Kluyveromyces lactis: one gene and its partners. The protein of the gene in region 3 interacts with the protein of the main gene of each other region in a pairwise test. Links are inferred from orthologs where the notes say so. Each region holds a gene or a part of one and is shown on either strand. Other genes may lie near its edges.

Region 1 (4,751 bases), on a different chromosome or scaffold from region 3:
AGCAGTAGAGGGCTGTTGCTTCTCAGTTGGAATTGGCTTGACAATCTCAACCGGTTTCGCTGCTGCCTTTACCACTACTGGAGAAACAGATACAGGAACAGAAACAGGAGCTGCGTCCCCGTTGACATTTGGCTTCTCATTCTCAGCTTCAACAACAACAGCAGATGGTGGTGATACTGGCTGGTCTGGGTTCACTAATGGAGCAAGGTCAGGAATGAAACGAATGATATCGTTTTTCAAATCGTAGACTTTACTGTTATACTCTGCTGGTTCCAGGATAAAGCACTGACAAAATCTGTAAGATGGTGAATCCGTCCAGCATAGCTCCCCTAATATCAATATCAGAATCGAAGAACTCTCGTACCCAGTAGATTGCACATCACACGAATCAATCTTGACCTTCAAATCCTGTACACGCTTGCTGTTTCTGGTAAAGAAATTGTTGATGTTATCCTTACCAATCAACTTGACGGTGTTTAAATAATCTTTGTCATGCTTGATAGGTTCATTATAATTCACATGGGTCAATTCCGCCGTGGTAGAATATAAACACGACAATTTCGATGGATCATTATGCATACGTTCATAGTACGTCCTTAGGAACGCATATCCGATCTCTTTCACATCGTAAGTGGTCATATTTTCCAAACCAAATGTGATTGTATCAAATTAATCTAAACAGGAAAAAACACACTGGTTCTTGTAAAAGAATTCAACTATTCTTTGATAACTCTCAATTTCAAACCGATCGCGGGTATCAAAAAATCAAATTGGAATGCTAAAGTGTATGAAATGAATGCAATACAGTCAATCGTTGTCAATCAGAAAGACCTTTGAATGAATTAAAAATAAAACTGTCAAACAAAAAAAAAAAAAAGAAGGGAAAAGCACGCTCTAATAACGCTCTAACAACGTTTTAATCCAAGTGTATTAACGGTGGATATTCAAGCAGGAAAGTATAGGGTATACTAGAATACAATAACAAAAAAGTATTAATTTCCTATGGGTGCTTTTTTCCAGACTCACGGGAAATTTCAGCACTACGAACACCGTATATGTGCCTCACGCTTCAAACTTATCGCTAAAGATTAAAGTCTGGTTTCTAATGAATGCATGAAAACCGATAAGCGAACCAAATAGACACCCTAACAACAAGAAACGCCCCTCACAAGCAAAGTATGTGCATGTTTGCATCTAGTGATTATATGTAAAGAGTCAATTTTCAAAATTTTTTAATGGAAAACTCGTCAATCATCTTATGAAATCATGCCTCACGAGATGCCAGGTGAATGAAGTACACAGGTTGCGCTCTTGCAACCTGTGGGTTTCGCACTGGTCAGCATCAGTTCAGTTCAGTGACGGTGGCTAGTCAGCCACCTTTTATACCCTATTTTAAGAATGATTGTGTATGTATATATATATATTCACATACATAAATGCATTATTGATGATACTCTATATGAAAGGCTGGCACATAAAAATCACATATATTACTCCTGTGTGATTCCGTAGATCAGGTTCTTGTAGTAACTGAAATCTGTTCCATTGCGTAGTTTGTACAAAGACAATTTACCGAGTTGGGTGTATGCCAATAGTGCCAAGAGACTTTGTCCCGCTGCGCTGCTGAACAATGGGAAGATCGGAATCCCCAACTCGTCAGCCAGTAGTTCTAGTGTATATTGCTGTTGTTGGTTTTGTTGCTGTTGCTGTTGACTTTGTAATAGATGTAATGGTGGTGGATGTGGGTGTTGTTGCGTTACCTCATGAACTAACTTGTTAATTAGGTTCAAATCGTACGACGTTGGTATGTATTTCTGAACCCACCATTCGAAGTCCTCTTTGTTGTTGGGCATGTTTGTGTTCATGAGCCTGTTGATTAAGAACCCGTAATCGTATGCTGCATGGTAACTGATCCACGTGACCTCATCGTTCAACAATAACCCGGAATCCATCATCAACTGAGCAAACTCGTCGAAATCAACACCGTTCTGTTGATGTCTCTCCAAGATGACACCGGATTTCTTTAATAGTTCTAACGATTCCGAATTCACGGTCTCCTTTGTTACGTCGAAATGGAAGTTGAATTGCCATGTGGATGGGAAGTTGTCTGGTTTATTCCCCTGTAAATCGCTTAACGAAAGTCCAATCTGGATTGGGGTTAGTAGATCCACGTTGGATCTCATCGTCTGGTAATGGTAATCTGTCTTTGAGCGGAAATTCCCAATGGGTCTCGCTATCGTACCGACAAACTCGGTGCTTATAGAAATAACTTTGTATTGCTCGATCATTTTACGGATTATGGCAAACTCGAAGTTTACGTTGTTTTGCCACACTTCTCTGATCAAAAGATGCGCTGGAGACGAGATTGGCGTATGAGATGCATTAGGTAATGGTGTTGTATCAAGCCCGTTCACGTTTCCCATTGCCTGTTGTTGTACCGGCATTGGAAATTGCATCTGCTGTGGAATCGTATTGTTATTAGAGTTACCACCGGAAATGCTGTTCTGCATCATCATAGGAACTTGCCCATTATTCGGCAACGGCATTTTTCCCGGTTGCTGCTGCTGCTGTAAGTTGTTTTGCTGCCCAAAAGCACTGTTTACCACATCCATCTTCTGTTTCAACAAGTACGAATTTTGAAGACCCCCATTGTTCTCAAGCCCATGCAGCACATGTGGTTGTTGCGACTGTTGAGGCATCATACGAGTACTATTCATAGAAGGGGAGAAAAGCATCCCGTTCATCCCAACTGGCCCTTGCTGCTGAACAGCGCCCTTCCCGAAAAATTGCTCCGAATTTGGCAATCCTCCGAGCTGACTATTAAGAGATTGCATTAAAATTCTATCGTACTTACTGGAGTAGTCCTAAATGACAACTCTTAAATCAGAATTGAATCGTATTCCAACCATATATGTCTCTGTCTCTTCCTTATCTAATGCTAAAGGCTTTCCTGTTTCGTTCCTCTTTGGCAGAAACAGAATTTTCGAGGGAAATGTCATTGTGTACGGTGTTGATATTACCACTGGCACCACTTCTCAATGGACAGTGGACCCGAATGGGTCCATTGTCCAGTGTTTCTGCCCCTGATCTGCATGCTTCACAACGTTCGGTGTTATCCAGCCTTTCTACTATTTATTTAATAAATTTCTATGTGCAAGACTTAGCCTAAGTCATCCGATTGATATTAATGTACAAAAACGATAGATCCGATAAGATTGTATATGGTGTGTCTATATATAAAGCGATGCCCGTGTCTGGAGAGAATTAAATATTGAGGAAGTGTTTGGTTTATTCCTTTTTGGCCTTTTTAGAAACAGGTTCTTCTTGTTCCTCTTGCTCCTTCTCTTCCTCTTCTTGATCTTCTTGATTTTCCTCTGCAGGACGTTTCTTATCACCAGGTTCCTTTTCCTCAATCTTGTCCTTCTCTGGTGGTGGTACGAACCATGGGATCTTACCTCTGTTGAAATCGTTCAAGATTTGTTTCGATACCCCGCTTTCATCTGGTTCACCACCTTTCAATAGTCTACCTTGCTTTCTTGCAATCATTTCGATGAAATCTACAGAGTCTTTCCATCCGGAGATCTCATAGGTTCTTTCCAAATGTTGTCTCTTACAACGTTTTAGAATACCTGGAATGTATTGTTCAGGATGCGAAACGTGTTCAACTCTTACCACACCTCTGAATAGAATATCCTCTTCACTGTCCTTGCTGGATGGCGGTACAATACCGGGACAATCGATTAAAAAGATTCTCTTCATCAAAGTTATGTATTGCCACACCTTAGTTTCACCAGGAATAGGTGCCACTTGACAGACCTTCTTTTTCCTTAGAGTGTTGATGATTGAGGATTTACCGGTGTTTGGATATCCAATGAACCCAACAGAGATTTGATGTCTGTCCTTATGCAGTTGTGAGAATTGACGTAGAAGTTGAATTAACGAACCCTTACCAAATGAATTGGTAATAGAGGCATGGAATGCCAATGTGGGACGTTCCTTCGATAGATGTTTTACCCATGCTGCCTGTTGAGAATCAAAAATAGGGAAAATCGTGTTAGTAAAATTGTAATCACATATGTGAATCAATAACCAATTATGCTTTCTACTGGGGGTTGACTCCATGCTGTATTGAGTATATTAGTGGTGATGTGAGGTTCTTTACTACGAGCCATGGCATAATAATTCTTTTCAGATCCAAAGCTCAACTCTTAAGTTCCTCCGTACCCGAAATAAAAGCGCTGATATATCCTCAAAACGAAGATTGTTCAACTAGGTTTCAACCATGACTCCATCAAAACGATGGATAGATCGAGGGTGGGTAGTATTGCTCTTCCAAAACTGTAACAGGCCCTTCTGTATGTGTAAGTTGTACTAGAATGTACGCAGAAACACCCTGACAAAGAATTTTGGTATTCTCAAGATACTGTGGTATTCACTCCCAGTTAGAAAGTATAATCGGTTAGTAGTAATCACTGAAGATTAAAAAGAAAGTTTAAAACATACGGCAACCCATGTAGGAACAAGATCACACTTGTTCAAGACGTATATCAAATGTTTATGAGGAGTCTCATTGGTCATGTAATCAGTCACCGATTTACAACGAGTCCCCAAAGGATCTCTAGCATCCAATACGTGGATGACGACATCGGAGGAATCGATAACCTTGTACAATTCGTTCCAAATACGTTTCGACTGACCTTTGTGGAAAATGGCTTCCTTTGCTGCCTGCGTCCAACCGTCTTCTTCCTCTT
Region 2 (5,651 bases), on a different chromosome or scaffold from region 3:
TGAAAATAAATTAATTATAAAAGGGTCATTAGCAAAAGAACTTCCCGAATTGATATCACAGTTGTCGCATGATTTCGGATCAATTGCCAAGATTGACTCTATGTGGTCCTCGTTACACATTCTTACTGGTGAACGAAAGCTTATATCCATTGGACGAGGTTCTCATGGCCAGTTTTTGGAAGAACCTCTGCCTTCAGAAACTCTGGATTTTGTTACTGGTAGTGAGCATGGGGTAGTAACTACTGCTGACATGAAAGTATATTGTTGGGGCTGGGGAGAGCACGGTAATTGTGGGTCTTTATTCAAGACAGAGACAAATCCGATCAATGACAAGAGTAACGTTATCAGCCCCCTTAATATGATAGGAAAATACGAAAAAGTTGTTAGCATCTTCGGAGGATGTGCGACCACATGGTTAGTGTTGGTTACGTGAGCACCGATTATTTTCTCTTAGCAAAGAGAAGAACGCTCTCTAATGTATATATGCATCTATGTAACAAAATGTTAAGAAGTACCTTTCCCATATTCATGTTGAAAATATAAAATATACAACCATGGCAATTAATGAAAATACCAGGCGGCTCACATGGAAAATATGTATAGACTTCTTGATTATTGATGTCTAGAGACTCGTATCACCCAAACAACTAGAAATCAAAGTAAAAATCACACTTTCCTATTCGAAAACAACAGAGAAAGATAAATCAATACGATGATTAGTAGCCCAGTTTCTTTAAAAGTCCCTTGCAAGAACCCAGATAATCACTTATCCAAGTTCTTACTGATCTTTTTAGAAGAAAAATAATAAACGATACAACTGTTAATAACGAGTTATCATATTGTAAGTATGTTGTGTGCGATGAACTTTCAGATACTTTTCGTTTTTTTTATTTTAAAACGTTCAATTTTTCTTTTTATACATAAGTCCTTCACAAGAAATAGGGCCTTAGTAACTGTAAATGGTTTATTTACTGCAATTAACTGGGTATTGCTCGTAATATTAGAGCACCTATTATAACTATCGCAAATCAGGAATCTCTTGTACTGTTTTATTGTTATGCTATCTTGCTATATCCGTGAACAATAGTAACCCGCGTATCGTTACACGAATAAATTAAGTCCGGGTAATAGTACAACTGTTGATAATCCTCGCCATAATCAGATATGTGGTCCGGGTAATATAATAAAACGATCAAAATGACGAAAGCTCAGAGTAGAGCGTATCGAGACCAGAGTGGCAACAGCTGTCACTTCTTCAGTAACAAGCAAGCTCTAACCCCCGATAGTTACAGAAACTGGAATATTCTCAACAACATAGAAAAGAACATTGGCATTTAAAGATCAGAGCTACACCAATTGTGCATCTACCTGTGCCCCGGTTCTTTATTTACCACTCACTAATATTGTTACCTCTCTTTGTTTCCACTTCTGCACAGGTTCTACTGAGTGTTTTTTCTTGTTTTCCTTTTATCAAACGGTTTTTAAGACTTTGTTTTTTCTTTGAAAGAACTAAATAAATCTTATATTGAAATTAAAACATTAAACATTAAAAGACATAGACTTCGGCAACTAAGGAAGCTTTACAGCCTCATCAGACGACTAGTTATTACTGTACTGACTGTGCTTTTTTTATTTGATATAAGAGGAGAATTTAATATAATCGAGATACTAAACCGAAAACATATTAAGAAATAAGAACTGGTCATTGGGCATATTTTGAGAGTTGTAAGATTCTAAACTGATATTGATATTTAGAAAAGCTGGAAATAACAACGAATAGAAGTTTAAACAGGAATCAACGAATAACAGCAGTGAAAAAAATTGAAACTATTATCAACACATTATAATTGAATTGGTGCAAATGAATTATCCGCCTCCCTTGTCAGGATTCCAGAAACCTGCTGGGCAAGCGGTGCCTCAGATGGTGGGTACGCCGCAAGCTGTTACTCAGCAGCTTCACCAGCATCCGCCAGGTTTGATGGGAAATCAAGGAAACCAACATCAGCCGGCCCAACTAAACAATGTCCTTCCTATGATGATGAACCAGGTTCAGAATGTGATAACTGGCGGTGCAGGGGGACCACAGCAAGCTGTGGGTCCTCCTAATGTTGGAACACCTAATGCAGCCCAGGCTGCGTTAGTGGCTCAGCAATTGTCCAATGCTAATAATCCGTTATGCCATCCACATTTAGCGGACCCCTCGTTGTTGAATTCACCAATTTGGAAGTTACAGCTTCAATTGGCTGCAGTTTCCAGACAGTCTTTGGGTCAATCGAATGTGTATGCTAGACAAAACGCCATGAAGAAGTTCTTAAATAATCAAAATCAGTTGGGACTGTCTACTAATGGCCAAGATGGCGTTCAGTCACAACAGCAGCAGGGCCAGCAACAACAACCAAGTCAATCTGGTCAGCAACAAGGTCAGCAACCTTTAGGTAATGACGCATCCATGTCTTTAGTCGAGCACACTAAACAACATCTTATGGAGATGGCCTCATCCGGTAATGAAGCTACTGCATCTGCTGTTAATGTCAATTCTGATCTAAACTCTACAGGGTTCTCAACTCCGAATACTCCAAAAGCAGAGCTTCATCCAAATACACCTTCTCTACTTCTGCAACACAAGAAGCTGTCTCAATATAATATCGACGAAGACGATGAAATTGAACATCGCATGGTAGCTCCAACGAACTCTAAACATGATGATCAATTATGGCACGCGTTAGACCTTTCCAACTTGGCCCTTTTCAATCTTAACGAAAAACTGTTCCATTACGAATTTTTGACACGTTTATATTTAAATGGTAATAGCCTTACTTCATTACCCTCTTCCATCAAAAAACTCAGAAATCTAAGAGTGTTAGACTTGTCTCATAATAGGTTGACAGAACTACCAAAAGAGTTAGGTATGTGCTATCAGTTGAAATATTTATATTTCTTTGACAATATGATCACAACAATCCCCTGGGAATTTGGTAATTTGTTTAACTTGCAGTTTTTGGGTTTGGAGGGCAATCCTCTTGATAAACAACTCGTGAAAATTATAGCTGAAAAGTCTGTCACTGGATTAATCTTTTACCTCAGAGATAATGCGCCTGAAATCCCATATGCCAAGGATAGAAAATTTATTGAAATATCAGCTGATGGCGAGCCAACTAACGAATACGAGTCATTACAAGAGAATACAAATCACATGAACAATACTTTATTGAAGAATAGCTTCACATTGTTATCTTACAATACGTTGTGTCATCATTATGCTACTCCAAAGATGTACCGTTTCACTCCATCTTGGGCGTTAAGCTGGGATTACAGAAGAGAAAAGTTGAAAGAACAGTTACTAGATTTTGACACAGATGTTATATGTTTGCAAGAAGTTGAAACTTTAACATATGAGGAATATTGGGTTCCTCTTATGGAAAAATATAACTATAGTTGCTTGTTCCACGCTAAGACCAGAGCCAAGACAATGCACGCCAAGGATTCCAAAAAGGTCGATGGTTGTGCTATTTTCTACAAGAAGGATCAATTCCAATTGGTCTTCCAAGATTCAATTGATTTTAGTTCTGCTTGGAGAAGCCATAAAAAATTCCATCGTACAGAAGATTATTTGAATCGTGCTATGAATAAGGACAATGTTGCGCTAATCGCAGAACTAAAGCATTTGAATACAAACGAAAATGTGTGGGTGGTCACTACTCATTTACATTGGGATCCACAATTTAATGATGTTAAAACTTTCCAAGTTGGCGTGATGCTGGACTATTTAGAGACTTTAATCAAACAGCACCACCATGTAAACAATAACAATGACATAAAGAAGATTCCTATGGTCATCTGTGGTGATTTTAACTCCCAATTAGACTCTGCTGTTGTAGAATTATTCAACAGTGGTCACGTCACGGCAAACCATAAAGATATTGATCAAAGAGATTTCGGTTATATGTCACAGAAGAATTTCTCGCATAATTTGTCGCTCAGATCAAGTTACGGCGCCATTGGTGAACTACCATTCACAAATATGACACCCTCCTTCACCGACGTCATCGATTATATCTGGTATTCCTCTCAATCACTACGTGTTCGCGGATTACTAGGGAAGATCGACGAGGAGTATGCATCCAAGTTTATTGGGTTCCCTAACGATAAGTTCCCAAGTGACCACATCCCTCTTGTCACAAGATTTGAAATTTCAAGGGGTAACGCCACCCAAACATCCAGCAGGAAAGTGTAATTGTACTAATTTTATTTACAATCATGTTTCACTTCTTTTTGTTCCCTTTATTGCTGGCTTTATCAAGATATCTATACCAGTTATTGCCACATTCACTTTCATCCTGCTCTTGTAATTGTAAATTTCATTTAACGTTATCAATAGAAGATACATCAGACATCTTGTGTCCTTTCTCAATTGATACAACAAAACCATATGTGCCGGTAAAATCCACCAAAGAAATGATATTCTAAGAAGTGCCTTTTTTTTTTAGGATGTTAAAACCGGTTTATCCCATCATTTCAACTAATACTTCATCATTTATAACGTTAGTCTTTATTTTCTTCTGTATATTAATGTTTTAAAGTCTATTCCAAGTATAACTGACAGGCTTTCTCACTTTTTCTTTTCCTGTCTCTGGACGGATTAAGTGATTTTTTTGTAAATTCCTTATCATATTTTTGGAAACTAAACAGGAATTCCTTCAGAAAATTGTTGTTTTATGGGAAAACATAATGATGCAAGCTACAAAATTACTGATGAAGGGATTTTAATTAGTACTTGGTCAATATATACATTGGCTGGTCTGTATTTTGAATAAATAGACTCAAGGGGAAAATTAATACACCAAATATTTCATCGAATTATGGAACTAGAAGAAAATGACGAAACTCCAATAACGGGAACTGCATTAAATGATCCTATTTCCCAAATACAAACCAAGGACCTTTCCAAAGAATCTACATACATCAAGCTTACTGATACTAATTATCTTGCATTTTTCCTTATCGGTATTGCATTACTTTGGCCGTGGAACTCATTCTTAAGTGCGTCATTATATTTCCAGCATGATGTATTTCAAGACACGTCGGTGTATGCAAGGATTTACATCAGTACCATGATGACAGTTAGTACGATATCATCGGTACTGTCTAACATAATTTTATCCAAAATTCAACATCATTACACTGAAAGAATTGTTAGTGGATTGTTCTTCGAAATTATTGTATTTACTTCATTATGTGGTGTGGTACTATTCCATCGTTGGTTATCCCACTTACTGTCATTCATCATGATTATGTTTCTAGTGCTTGTCAGTTCCGTTGCAACTGCACTCTCTCAAACCGGTGTCATGGCTATGGCTAACGTTTTCGGACCAGAATACAATCATGCAGTGATGGTGGGACAAGCCGTCGCAGGGGTACTACCGTCGCTAGTGCTCTTCATGGTCTCGATCTTCAATCAAAAACAGGAACAAACAGCGACAGGTATCAATCTATATTTCTTATCCACTAGTGTCATGTCGTTTGCATCCATCGTGGCATATAAAAAAAGTGATATACCTATCATTGGAGGAGATATGGCTCAGCGGACAGCTGATGAGCCTAAGGTTTACGTCCCATTCAAAGTGCTTTTCCTGAAATTAAGGTACCTTGTG
Region 3 (4,373 bases):
TTGTACTTGAGCCAATTGATTTTTCAATGGTGAAGAATGACCGGCAAACTGTTGGATCAATTTGATCAAAGCCATCTTATCGTGATTCTTCAATTGGTACAACAAACCCAATGCATGGTATTGAGAGATATGAGACGTAGTTGGATAATATCTACTGTTCTCATCTGGATATGGCAACTGTTTCAAATCACCAACGGCTTCCTGAGTCTCATTAGCAAATCTCTTCACCGTAGTTTCAGCGATTGGTAATAAATGGTATGAACTGACCAAAGAAGCAGAACAAATAGATGGATGTTTGCTAACCAACGAATTTTTCAATAATCTTTCTGCAGAAAATGCAGTGGACTCATCCAAGACACGGATCAATGCTCTAATAGCATTAGGCTTCACTAGATCTGAACCATTTTGAACATCTTTCATAATTGAAGAAGTAGCCATCAAGATATCATCGGAGATTCCACACAATTCCTTAATAGCCACGTAAACGATTTGTCTCAAAGAATCGTTAGGGTGTTGGAACAATTTCGAAATGGAAAAGAATAAAGCAGTAGCTTCTTGTCTAGGGAAAGTCTCACCATGCGACAATAGTTCCAACAAGCTTGTGATCAGGGTACGGCACAGTTTAGGATTCACAGGAGATTCATTGAACCGATTCAAACAATCCTGATAGATCGCCATTTTGTCTGGCAAGGACCCACTGTGTGGGTCCTCAGACTTCTTATAAGTTTGTGCAGACATGCAATTGGCAGTGCTAGGATACCTTCAAATGACGTACTAACCTTTAGTAGCCAATTTTGAGCCTATTAACCTCGTGTTTTATCCAATTCTTTTTGCCGTGTGGTATGGTATATATTTATATTCATAATGTTTTCAGTTTGCAAATCGGTAGAAGTCCTTTGGAATGAAAAAAAAAGTGAAGCGGGTGTGTGAAAGTGAGGGTAACACTTGTTTTTTAATTATGATATATATGTATATATATATATATATATGGATATGGAGATATATATGATATAGCAGGCAAGATCACTGCTGCTGTTCATCTAGAGTCAGGAGTAGTTGTGCAAGACATCTCTTGGTACCTACATCGTCCTGTAGTGCTTCATTGAAGGTGTTATCTCTTAGTTGTTGCGGCAAAACTTGTTTCAACAATCTTCTGGCTTCTAAATTATCCGATAATCTTAGGTAGCATCTTACAACATGTTTCAATAATCTTCCCGGCACCTGTTGTTGGGACATGTGCTTAAACATAGTTGCCAAAACTTGTGACACCGCGTAGAACCGTTCTGGGGTCGCGCATACGAACTGGAGTCCGTTATCGTCTAATAATATTTTCTGTAAGATGAAGATAGCGACGATCTTCGAAAGTTCTGAAGAGTTTTCCATGATTCTTAAACATAATGGGATAATATCTGTCCTTAGAAGGAAACTGATCACTTCTGCAGAATCGTTTTTCACTAGAGCACCGATGACACCTAGTGAAGTTAGCCTTAAATATTCAAAAGTTCTTTGGTTTGATGTCGTAGATAAGAATGGGAAAAGGAACAACGGGATGTGAGCCTGTAAGAATTGAGGCCTGATATCTGGGTGTGATGCGACACATTGTAAGAGCACCAAAGCGTTGCATACGCGGTTTGATAACTGGTTTGATAATGCAGGAGGTGAAAGAAGCGGATAAATTGAAATTATTTCCTTTAGCAACGACGTCATCACACCGAAACTGGACCACAGCACGATAGCCAAATCCTCATACTGTTCACGTTTCTTACCTAGTTCTAGAAGCGCTTGTTCTTTGCTTGGCCCGTAAGTGAGCTGGCATATCCAATGGTAGACATTTGGATCATCTAGCGCATGTGTTATTCCTGCTGGTGTGGGACCTGGCCCAGGAACTGAACTTGGTCCTGCAGTTGGCCCTTGGCCCATCCCAGGCATCTGACCTGGAAGTTGGTTGTTTTCTACTACTGGGTGGGGCATTCCTTGTTGCAAACCAGGAGGCATATTTTGGGGTTGCTGTTGTTGCTGTTGGCCCTGGGTTTGATTTTGACCCTGAGCCTGCCCTTGAGGCTGGCCTTGACCCTGGCCTTGGTTATTTGGGAAGTAAGGTTTCAATTGTGGGAAATATTTCCTGCGGGTTTGTTCCGAGAACACATTCCCCTGAGCTTGAGCCGCTTGAGCCTGGGGTTGCTGTTGAAACATGGCAGATGATAATTGCGGGTGTTCTACCTGATGCACAAGCTGGATGATGTGTCCTTCCCTGAGACAATGCTGAATATTGCCTATTCTACATACCATATATATACAGAGATGCGAATTATCAACACTTTTAAGTTGAAAAGATGTGCTAAGTTGTGGAAACTGAGGTTGTTATGAAATCCGGGTAATAAGACAACGAAAGTTTAAACACAAAACAAAACACGCCCAGACATTGTTCAATATGACGAAACACTGAATAAAAGAAGAAGCATATTAATTATTAAGTATTAGACAATATATAAAGATGTATATTAAGTTGGTGATAGTAGGAATAATAATAGAGGAGAATGGGGTTAAGATTATAATTTGGAATGTTAGAATTACTTTAATAGTTGATTAAAAATAAAATAAAAAAAGCGGAAGCTTTTTTTGTTTTTATTTTAACTTTAGTTAAACAACTTCTTCAACTTACCCAACCATTTCTTGGAAAAAGATTGAGATTCCTTCTTGACATCTTCAGCTTTGGCTTGAGCTTGTTCTTGAGTTTCCTCAGCCTTAGCTTGAGCTTGTTCTTGAGTCTCTTCAGCTTGTTGTTGAGCTTCTTGAGCAGTTTCCTCAGCATTTTGTTGAACTTCTTCAACCTTATCTTGGATAGCTTCTCTTTGTTCTTCGATCTTGTCAGACATTGTTAACTGTATGTGTTACTTAGTTGTTGTTTCTTGCTGTTTTAAAATATGTCAGACAGAACAATTAAAATTATCCCAAAAACAACCGCCAATGGTATGGGAAAAGGCATCGCATCTTAAACTTTGTTTTCCTCTATTTATATGTGTGAAACTGGGAGTCCGGTATTAGAGCGAGGGCAAGGGATCTCAGGGATCATCCCAGCACCGAGACACGGACATTCACTCGGACATGGAAGTGGTATGACATTACATTACACGGTCCAGAGGGCTAATCCTAAAGTAGCGTAGACGTTTCCTACTTTTAGAACGCGCCCTCCGCTGCTACTGCATTTTAAGTGAATATGCGGTCCAAATTGTTGTTTTTGATTTTCATTTGATTGATGCGTTTATGGGTCTATGGGTGTATCGATGAGCTAGAATTATTTCGGTTCAAAAGACAAAACGGGGGCGGGCGCGGTTCTGTGTCCCAGACATGCTCTAAGACATAGCCCCCTTTGCATTCTGGGTGTCCTGTTGTCGAGTTTTTTCCACAACGTTCCATGGGAAAGGGCAAGCGAAGGGAAGAAAAAAAAATTTTTTTTCTTACTACAATGGGAAGTTGATTTCCCATTGTAAGGTGTGCGGCATTACCCGGGGATTGTCTCGTGTGGAAGACATTCGCCCTCGGACAATTACTGGAAGTGGCAATAACGACGCGGATAGCGGTGTTCCCGGTTGGCGCTATATAACACGCAGCTTTGAGGGTTGTTTACGTCACGTGATGGTGTACCATCACGTGATACTCTTTTTCTTATATTTTGTATGGAACGGATTTTTGGCATCACGTGACATTGGCTATCATATCAAAGAAACGGCCTCTAGCGAGGCCGTTGCTCCTAGTACGGTTTCTTAAATACAGTTTTCTTAAATACAAACTTGCAGGCCTCTCAGTAAACGTTCCTCAGAAATTTGGGTATACTTAATGCTTCAGAGTGCTAGAGTACATTTTAGCACGTTCAGACTGGTGCACAGCGTTTCTCTCGTCTTTGGAACCTCAAGACGCAATATACTTATCGCGACCTTGTTACTGATGTGCCTTCAACACTAACTCCAACATCGCCCGATGTTGGTAGTTGTTGCCTGCTCTTTTCAGCTTCATATATATCTGTAAAATGCTCATTAACAAGTAATATATGTACTTAGTGCAGAGGACCTGCCTCTATTTATACAAATTTAGGAAGTGAAAAATTTTTGCTTGGGAAAAGTTACCCGGGACAGTAGATGTAAAGAAATCCGTTTCCATATTGATTATAGGGCATCGCCTAATGCGATGAGCCATGCTAGGTGACCAAGGGCACACACACCCCTTGTTATCTAGCACTATTATATTTAAAAGCTACTGTTATGTGTATATTGTAGGGTCGGTGTGCTGTACCGGCCGTACAGTGTTATAGTACCGAGGATCCATCGTATACTTCTTGTAGTTCATTTCCTCGGTGTATGTCGGAGATGACAGTG

Evidence for each region. The genes of interacting proteins can lie anywhere in the genome.
Region 1: the proteins of CAF40 (region 3) and POP2 interact in binary tests that used the Saccharomyces cerevisiae proteins (3 or more experiments, as listed by UniProt). The link is inferred for Kluyveromyces lactis from reciprocal best matches to the Saccharomyces cerevisiae genes CAF40 and POP2.
Region 2: the proteins of CAF40 (region 3) and CCR4 interact in binary tests that used the Saccharomyces cerevisiae proteins (3 or more experiments, as listed by UniProt). The link is inferred for Kluyveromyces lactis from reciprocal best matches to the Saccharomyces cerevisiae genes CAF40 and CCR4.

The regions. Positions count from the first base shown.
Region 1 is NC_006039.1:1,668,157-1,672,907, forward strand, and holds POP2 (CCR4-NOT core DEDD family RNase subunit POP2), read right to left. Parts: upstream 2,835-4,751; coding exon 1,491-2,834; downstream 1-1,490. Other genes in the region: BRE5 (Bre5p), read right to left, coding at 1-639; putative GTPase NOG2, read right to left, coding at 3,289-4,023, 4,504-4,751. UniProt on the Saccharomyces cerevisiae protein: Acts as a probably catalytic component of the CCR4-NOT core complex, which in the nucleus seems to be a general transcription factor, and in the cytoplasm the major mRNA deadenylase involved in mRNA turnover.
Region 2 is NC_006042.1:1,467,195-1,472,845, reverse strand, and holds CCR4 (CCR4-NOT core exoribonuclease subunit CCR4), read left to right. Parts: upstream 1-1,861; coding exon 1,862-4,234; downstream 4,235-5,651. Other genes in the region: ATS1 (Ats1p), read left to right, coding at 1-433; nucleoside transmembrane transporter FUN26, read left to right, coding at 4,860-5,651. UniProt on the Saccharomyces cerevisiae protein: Acts as a catalytic component of the CCR4-NOT core complex, which in the nucleus seems to be a general transcription factor, and in the cytoplasm the major mRNA deadenylase involved in mRNA turnover.
Region 3 is NC_006041.1:1,170,872-1,175,244, reverse strand, and holds CAF40 (CCR4-NOT core subunit CAF40), read right to left. Parts: upstream 2,290-4,373; coding exon 1,024-2,289; downstream 1-1,023. Other genes in the region: SEC21 (coatomer subunit gamma), read right to left, coding at 1-738; PCL1 (Pcl1p), read right to left, coding at 4,258-4,373. UniProt on the Saccharomyces cerevisiae protein: Acts as a component of the CCR4-NOT core complex, which in the nucleus seems to be a general transcription factor, and in the cytoplasm the major mRNA deadenylase involved in mRNA turnover.